Linked DNA regions of Xenopus tropicalis. The protein of the gene in region 1 purifies or fractionates together with the protein of each later gene. This does not show direct contact. Links are inferred from orthologs where the notes say so. Each region holds a gene or a part of one and is shown in the gene's direction. Other genes may lie near its edges.

Region 1 (4,356 bases):
AATGGGTGTTTTATAGATATTGCTATGTTTATACATCTCCAGAATCTTATGGCATTTGTGGCTTTACATTTTGATCTGCATGTCAGGTTTTAGTATTGCAAAAATGTATATTTTTTTTTAACTGTAGTTTAGGAATTGCATTTATATATGTATGTATATACATCCTAAACAATATTAACAAGTTCTATATTATTTTATAGGGCATGTGAAACTTACTGATTTTGGCCTTTGTAAAGAATCTATTCATGATGGCACTGTCACACACACCTTCTGTGGAACAATAGAATACATGTAAGATTTCATGTTTTTTAATAGTTTTTTTTTTTCCTTAGGACAAATTCACAGGGCTGACTTAAATGTGTGTATCCCTTTCACCATACAGGTGAAATCGTAATGGGTATTCACAAACTTATGGTATTCTGACTTTTCATCTTTTAACTAACTTCAATTTGCTTTCTATTTCTTATTCCATAACCTGTGTTTATGTCCTGGTAAAAATGTTATGTATAGTGTATGTACAGTATATACATGCATGAAGAAGGACCAGCACGTCAAACATTTTATTCACCATTATTTATTGTATAACATGTTGCATTTCACATTTTGTTACCTTAGGAAATTTATCAAGCATATTTTTTATAAACATAAATATGGCTATGGCTAAACTTTGCAAAAATAAGTGCTACATTCTTTAATTTTCCTAGGGCACCTGAAATCTTAATGAGAAGCGGTCATAACCGTGCTGTAGACTGGTGGAGCTTGGGAGCCTTGATGTATGACATGCTGACTGGAGCAGTAGGTGCACTGTTGTTTATGCATGATTTGCCTCCAGTGACCAAAATGCTTTTCCTGGAACAGAGGCCTATTAAAGGAACAGTAACAACAAAAAATGAAGGGGTTTACATTAAAACATTATCATGTAAATTGCAATATAATGTACTGCTGCCTTTCACTAAATTGTATGTATGCGTCAGAAAGACTATAGCTCATATAAATAAGCTGCTATGCAGCCATGGAGCAGCCATTTAAGTTGCAAAAATTAAAGACACAGGTGACATAGCAGATAAGCTTTGATGTATAAAATGTTGTTTGGCAGAGTTTATCTATTATCTGCTATGTAGCCATTTAGCCCTATGTATAGCTACTCCCATGGCCATGCAGCAGCTTTGTTTATATAAACTAGTGCTGTCCAGCTTCTTTGGTAAGATTTTTCTGGCCTAAGTGGTGGAGGGCCAGTGATGGTATCCAGCTTTGACCGCACCCCATTTTAAGTCACACCCATGTTATCACAGTTGAAAATGCATGCTTTTCTGTTAAGTCCTCTCCCTCAAAGTATAAACTCACTGCTTACTAGTGTAAAAGTATTTTTGCCTTGAATGCAGATAGCACAACTATAAAGACAAAACAGTGAAAAAACACAGGGCATGCACTGTCTAGTTTATTTGCCATAAGGCTGTGGTTACTGGCTGTTTTGCTGTGTTGTACAATCCACTCCAAAGATCAAGGGCCCACCAACTTTTAACAAATTGTGTCCTATCTAACCGTACTTTTGATTTAAAACTTTTAAATAAGTGGATTATACGAATCGAATCAAGTTTTCTCATCATGAAGTCAGCAGCAGGGTGATGAATTGAGGTAAGAAGCAGGAGAGCAGAGTCAGTATGTAACAGCTGGGAAGGGAGATCAAAGTTTGCAACATTGTTCGGGTGGGCTGAGGAGCAGCTGCATGAAAAGAGGCTACCATGTGGATCAGATGCTTCAAGTTTGGTTCTGACTGATATGTTTTAAATAAACTGCTTTTATTACCTGAAGCTTTGTGAGCCACAAGGTTTCAACCTCTGGGCCGTCAGTTGGACAGTGCTGATATAAACTATAGTGGTGTTTCTGAAGCAAAAACACACCTTTTACCAGTGCAGGCCAACAGTACATTACATTTTAATTACAGTGATGCACTTTTGTTTTTTGGTGTTACTGTTCCTTTAATATAGAAATTGTAAAAGCCTCGCTTTTTTACATTTCCTATGATGTTGTCTTATAGAAATAATTGCAGGGATAACCCTTTTAAAACGAAACATCACAAAACTGGTGTTGAAGGTATTTATTGCCTTTATTGGCTAATTAAGAGGTGATAATATATTGCTTTTTTAACTTAGTTCCTTTTTTAAATTGTTATGAGTATATTGATGCTTCTCTGTTAATGCTACTGATTTCAGGTAACAGTTTTAGCTTTCTCTAACCTGCCAATGTCTTTTAGGCTATCTGTCTTTAAGCTTTTATAGCTATTTAACTATTATAAATTCCTAACAAGGAAACAGAAGGGTAAACATTTTTTGTTTTTGTGTTATAGGGAGACATTAAAGGGGTTGGTTTACCTTTAAATTATCTTTTAGTATGATGTAGAGAGTAGTAGTAGTTTATGGAATATGAATAGAGGAGGGCCTGCATAGAAAGATAAGCAAAAAAAAAAGTAGCAATAACAATAAAATTGTAGCCTCTCAGAGCTACAATAGCTTAGTAGCTTCCAGGGTCAGTGGCCCCTTTTTTAAAGTTTGAAAGAGTTGCAGAGGGAAGCATATAATTAAAAAACTATAAAAGATACAAAATGAAGACCAATTGAATATTTGCTAAATAGGCCATTCTATAACATACTGAGAGTTAACCTGAAGATGTGCCACCCCATTAAAACTTCTAGAATACAATTTCACTGAGCACAGAGTAGGGATTTTTTGTGTTATTATAGTTAAAAGTATTCAGAACAGCACTTCTCTGTTTCATATAAATAAGACCTATTTTTCAACGTTTTTATGCTAAATTATTTCTAATCACCATAAAGTGTATACTTTAACAGGAAATTAGCTGTAACATTTCTAGTTTGTTTGCTCAGTGTTTCTGCTTTACTACTATGCTTTACCGTAAGTATTGTTGCTAACTGTAATGCAGTTTTGTTTTGTGTTCTAGCCGCCATTTACTGGTGAAAACAGAAAGAAAACAATTGATAAAATTCTTAAATGTAAATTAAACCTGCCCCCCTACCTCACTCAAGAAGCCAGGGATCTGCTTAAAAAGGTAGCTATCCTTTTAAGATGTGTAAATCAAAAGCATTTTTTTGTTGCCCCACTAGTGCTTTTCTTCACATAGGAGGAAACTTAATATAATTATTATAAATGTTGTTGCTGATCTGTAACAAAAATTAATTTAATAATAACTTTAATTGGTTAATTTCACTATTTAGGTGGCTGTTTAAAGTGCACCTATCAGGAAAATTCTTCCCTTTAGCCAGAGTGCAGACTTTTATGGGCATGCACATCCAGTAGAGGAAACAATATTCCTATGAAAGGGATTTGTGATGTAAAGCCGATGAAGGGGCAAGGCCCTGAAACATGTATTCTGCTTGACACAATAAATCACTGGTTGAATTGTATCTGTGTGTTGGCTTTGCTTGATTTTGCAGTCCAATTTGAAGGGGTGCCAATCCCCTTTCACTCTGTGCACCGGGTTAGGAGGAAGGAAAAGCCATTAGCCACCAGAATCTTTCTAATTACTAATGGAAACCCTTAAAACTTAGAATTTTTGAAGTAGAGTAATTATAATTTATGCTATGTTAATGACAGTTAAAGCCATTATCAGTAGTATCATCCAAGCAGCTTTTGCTTATGGTTCCCCCACCTTATATACCTAAATGTTTCTATAATAAGTAATAATGTATAGCATAGATTATTATCATCATCTTTTATTTAAGTTAACATGTATTTATACAGCACCAAAAAATGCCACAGTGTTATACAATAAATGGGTGTATACTGTGAACACACAGACTTGCATAAAATAAAGAACTGATAACTGATACAAGAGGTTAAAAGGGCCCTACTGAAAATAAAGCTCAAGGATTTGTAAAATAATACTTATGTAGATTCTGAAGGATGGGCACCTACTGCCAAAAAGTGTATATCATGATCCCCTATAAGGGCCTCTAATAAAAACACCTCAAGATTGTACTGTCTTGGGTGGTGCTTTGCTATGGGGTTTCCGATATAACCCCTATAGAAATCAATGAGGATGGTTCTGTATTAACTCCATATTTGCTGCAGTTGTCATAAAATCACATAATGTACACAAACCCGTAGAATACATAGGCGGATTAGGGTGTGAATAGACAAACAGAGCAACTGCAGTTTAATGGAATGCCTCCATGGCAAAAATGGCAGCTGATAGCACAGTAGTGCTTTTTTCCCTCTGCTTTAGGGTACAATTTTAAAGCTCTTCTTAAATTTAGTGTTATGGTCTAGTTTGAACCAGAAAAATAGGTTGGAGGCATTCTACAGACCCACTCTCTAGACCATTATTATGATACTATAT
Region 2 (4,977 bases), on another chromosome or scaffold:
CATCTTTATTAAGCATATTCCTTATATACTGTATCTAAAAGTGTATAATGCACTGGCACATTCATGTTTTTACACAATATGTCTCCTTATCTAAGTTGCATTATTAAATTGTAGTGATGGGATGTTTGTCCAGAAATCAACTTTTTCTAAACTGAAAAAAACCCAAAGGCTAATACCACACAGGGATTTCCAAACACCACTGCCATTACATAGTTACACAGGGTTCAAAAAAGACCAGATTAGAATTTATCAAGTTCAACCCTTCCAAGTAAACCCAGCACACACAACCTATACTAACCAATCTATACCAACACATACATAACTACATATACAAACATTAATACTAACTGTAGATAGTATCACAATAGCCTTGGATATTATGCTTGTTCAAATACTCATCCAGGCCCCTCTTAAAGGCATTTACAGAATCTGCCATTACAAGATCAGTAGGAAGGGCATTCCCCAACCTCACTGCCCTCACCGTGAAAAACCACCTACGCTGCTTCAAATGGAAGCTCCGTTCCTCTAACTTTAAGGGGTGGCCTCTGGTGCATTGATAGTTTTTATGGAAAAAATAACACCCCTTATCTGCCTATAATCCCCTCTAATGTACATATACAGAGTAATCATGTCCCCTCGCAAGCACCTATTTTCCAGAGAAAACAACCCCAACCTCTATAGTCTTAACCTCATATCTTAAACCTTCCATCCCCTTTACCAATTTAGTTGCACGTCTCTGCACTCTCTCCAGCTCATTAATATCCTTCTTAAGGACTGGAGCCCAAAACTGCACTGCATACTCAAGGTGAGGCCTTACCAGAGACCTATAAAGGGGCAAAATTATGTTTTCATCACTTGAGTCAATGCCATTTTTTATACAAGGCAGCACTTTATTTGCTTTAGTAGCCACAGAATGACACTGCCTGGCATTACACAACTTATTATCTATAAAAAAAACCCAGATCCTTCTCCATTAAGGATACCCCCAACAAACTACCATTTAGTAGATTGCTTGTGTTTATATTATTTTTACCAAAATGCATAACTTTGCACTTGCCCACATTGAACCTCATTTTCCAGTTAGCTATTTAGTTTTCCAGTTTTGTCAAATCGCTCTGCAAAGTGGCTGCATCCTACACGGAACTTATAGTTTTGCACAATTTAGCGTTCTAGGCCAATATTCCTCAATGTTATCATTAACCTTCTGTGAGGTACTGTATCATACGCTTTTTCAAAGTCCAAGTACATGACATCAAAAATACCAGCAGACAAAATATCCATCTCCAGGCACCGTTTGTAATGTTATTTTATTTAAAGAATCCTATAGTTGGTATACAAGGGCAGATTGTCTGCTGCTGTTTTCCACCACAAACCTTTACTAAAAAAATTAATTTACATTACAACCCATGCAGGTCTTTAACTGAAAAGATAATATAACTGCAAACCATCCTCTGTATATTTGTAAAGTATAAAACGCTGGCATATTACAGCAATTGTATGCCAAGTTAAACGTGAACAAATGCACTTGAATCAAATCCTAGTTACCGCCCAAAGTTAAAAAAAAAGTACTAAAGCTGTGCATTGATACAACTAGCTTGGCCCCTGCATTAGCATTCCGGAAGTTGTAGTTAGTCGTACCCAGCCAGTACTAGCCATTTAGCTACATTGAGCGCAGTCACTTCCTCCATGTTGGACTAAACCATTTGTAATTGAAAAAGGGGAGGCGCTCACTTTGGCTTAAATCATTTAAGCCTCATATTTCTTTTAACAGCAAGAACACAAAATACAGAGATAATTCCTTTGTGGTTAATATATCGCGCGTTGGGTTTGACATCACGCAAGTTGAATTGAGTGATCTCGCCACCCCTGTCTCCTGCCTTGGTTAGCTCCTTTTCCGCCGGTGCCCGGTACAGCGCACATGGCCTGTTAGTAGCGCCAAGCCTTGCGTTCTCTTTATTCTCGGGGAGAAACGAATTCCAACCACGGAGAGACGCAAGAATCCAACGTAGGTAGAACAGAGACAAACAGGAAAGTGCCGAGGAATGCTGGAGAGCGAACGACCCGAGAGAGACATGGAGGAGGAAGAGTCCACCGAGGAGGAGGAGGAAGAAGGGATGTCCTTTAGCGATCCGGAGGGATTCGAGGACGATATCAGTGAAGAGGGTGAGTGAGGGCTTTCTAGAATGTTGGCTCTGGACAATATTGGGTACTTAGGCCTGCATGTTGCGTTCTTTTTAGGGCAGTGCTTCTGCTTATGCAGTACCCATAAGGCCTGTGTGTGAAAAGATGGGGGCCCCTGGCAGTGCAGAAAGAATGTGGCCTCTTATCAGAGGGATGGAATTGGATTCATTATAGATGTTATTGTTGCTGTACTCCCAGCTGGTAATTTCCCTGCTTGGTGCTAAAAACCTTTCAGCCTTCAGTTACAGCTGGAAGCCTGCAGGTTGGGCGGACATCCCTGATGTGCATCCTGAGAACGGCTAACAGCTGCCGCATCGCACAATATGTCCTTTGTACCTGGGATTGGTGTGGGGAGTTGTAGTTTGATAGCAGCCAGCTATGCTGCACTGTCACACCCTTTCATGGTTATTTTTGTGCCCTAACACAACACCCCAGTTATCAAGCAATTTTGAAATAAACAAAGCTTGAGCAGATGGGGCCCCACTGGCTGCCGAGCAGCATTTTTATTTTAACTCGTAGCAAAAACAAGCCCTCTGTTTTTTTCAGGCTTGGTATTTAGATTTTTTTGTTGTTGATATGAGGTATTTATCCTAAAGGTGCCCATACACGTTAAGATCCGCTCGCCAAGCAAGTGGATCTTCTCCCGATATCCCCCACCTATGGGTGGGGGATATCGGGAAAATGTAGGCTAATTTGATTGATTAAATTCTAACGGCAGCAATGGCACAGCCAGTTCGGGGATCGTCCCTGATCTGACTAAATCTTTTAACCTGCCCGATCGATATCTGGGCAATTTCAGGCCAGATATTGGTTGGGCAGGCCTGTCGTTTCTGCCCCTACACGGCCCGATAAGCTGCCGAATCAGTCCAAAGGACCGATATCTGCAGCTACAACCAGCCCGTGTATGGCCACCTTAACAAACAGTCAACAGTTAGGAAGTCTCAATGACCGTGAGGATATAGAAAATCAGGATCTTAAAATAAAGATAAGCAAACCAAGTTCTAACAGCCACCAAATGTAATCCTCAAAGTCAGTGTCTTTGGGTGAAGACGCACAGAGCTACGAGTAGCAGCTACATCAAAGCCAGTGATGGAGAAAACTGCTTTAATAGCAATTATGTACAATTTTAAAATGTAAATAAAATATTTAATTGAGCATTCTTTAGAATTGCCTTCATAATGCACAAAAGCCTATTTTGGAGGGGATGACAAACGCTGCTTTTAATAGCAGTAATATCTATAAACAACTTTAAAACAATTACACATTTGTAATTAATGTAAATTGCAAAGTTTGCTTAGAATTGTTTTCTTTTATTAGGCAAAACGTTTTTTGGGGTTGACATGTCAAAAAACGTGCTCAGGTCATATTGGCATCACTTTTTCTCTTTTCTGTACAGCATTGCAGCATACACTGGTGCATTATAACTAAAGTTGGTACTAGATACCCCTCTTAATTAAAGGAACAGTAACACCAAAAAATTAAAGTGTATAAAAGTAACTAAAATATAATGTGCTGCTGCCCTGCACTGGTAAAAGTTGTGTGTTTACTTCAGAAAGTCTACTATAATTTATATAAATAAGCTGCTATGTAGCCATGGAGGCAGCCATTCAAAGGAGAAAAGGCACAGGCACTTAGCAGATAACAGATAAAACACCATTGTATTCTACAGAACTTATTTGTTATCTGCTATGTAACCTGTGCCTTTTCTCCTTTTTTCCAGCTTGAATGGCTGCCCCCCTGGCTACACAGCAGCTTATTAAATCAATTATAGTAGTGTTACTGTAACAAACACACCAGTTTTACTATTGCAGGGCAACAGTGCATTATATTTTATTACTTTAAAGCTCTTTCATTTTTTGGTGTTACTGTTCCTTTAAGAAGGGAGGAAGAAAGTGAACAGTAGTTCTTATCTTTCTGTAACAGCATGTATGTCAATGTTGTCAGTTAGGCAAGTTTATCTCCTTGTTGTACAATGTCCCAATGCTTTTCTGCTTCATGAATGAAGAGCAATAATAATGTATGTTAGTCCAATATGTAATTTTGTAAGGGTGTGTCGTCTGTTTCTGAGCAGTGTATCACTTGATTTATAGCTGGGAGTTACCTGGTTGCTAGAGTAGGTGTGCTTAGTTACCTCTTATGGACAAAGACTGCATGCTGTAATTAGGTGCCCAAACCTTAGGCTAATGTCAGACCAGGTATGGCGTATATATTTTCGGCAAGTTGAAAAACGCTTGCCAAAAATATATACGCCATACGCCTGGTTTGACAATGGCCTTACACTCAGGGCATTCCACAACTTCGCTGCCCTTACCATGAAGAACCACCTACCCGGTATTGAACGTTTTTATGGGAAAGAATGCCATAATGCCTTCTAATATACTTATAAAGAGTAATCCAATCCCAGCCTTGATAGTCTGCTCTAATAATTATATAATGTGTCAGTATGACTTGCTTTATCAAGTTTAAAAAGGTTACTTTATGTCTGAAAAATGCTCAGAAAAGCCAAATTAACTTTTTAAATTGTTTAATCGGGCACTGTATAAGATTTGTTCATTCCTTTTGAAGCAACTAGTTTAGCAGCTCCTGTCCTTTTTCATATCCTGTGAAATTAAGTTAATGCATTGGGCTTACAGAGTGTCTAGGAGAGCAAGTAGGCATTCCCTGGGTCTCACTGTAACTGGCTTTTCGGCTGCCCCAACCCCGTGGTGTTGCCCCCACAGTTAAGGAACATCTGGTACAAAGTGTCCCATTTTAATGCATGTGAGAACATTCAACAATGTATTAAATTAAGATTAG

The links.
Region 2: the proteins of rps6kb1 (region 1) and eif3b purify together in Homo sapiens (affinity purification with western blotting; 3 studies listed by BioGRID and IntAct, with this or other methods). This does not show direct contact. The link is inferred for Xenopus tropicalis from reciprocal best matches to the Homo sapiens genes RPS6KB1 and EIF3B.

The regions. Positions count from the first base shown.
Region 1 is NC_030678.2:91,532,005-91,536,360, forward strand, and holds part of rps6kb1 (ribosomal protein S6 kinase beta-1), read left to right. Parts: intron 1-200; coding exon 201-291; intron 292-704; coding exon 705-795; intron 796-2,958; coding exon 2,959-3,066; intron 3,067-4,356. UniProt on the Homo sapiens protein: Serine/threonine-protein kinase that acts downstream of mTOR signaling in response to growth factors and nutrients to promote cell proliferation, cell growth and cell cycle progression.
Region 2 is NC_030685.2:31,105,589-31,110,565, forward strand, and holds the start of eif3b (eukaryotic translation initiation factor 3 subunit B), read left to right. Parts: upstream 1-1,948; 5' UTR 1,949-2,072; coding exon 2,073-2,163; intron 2,164-4,977.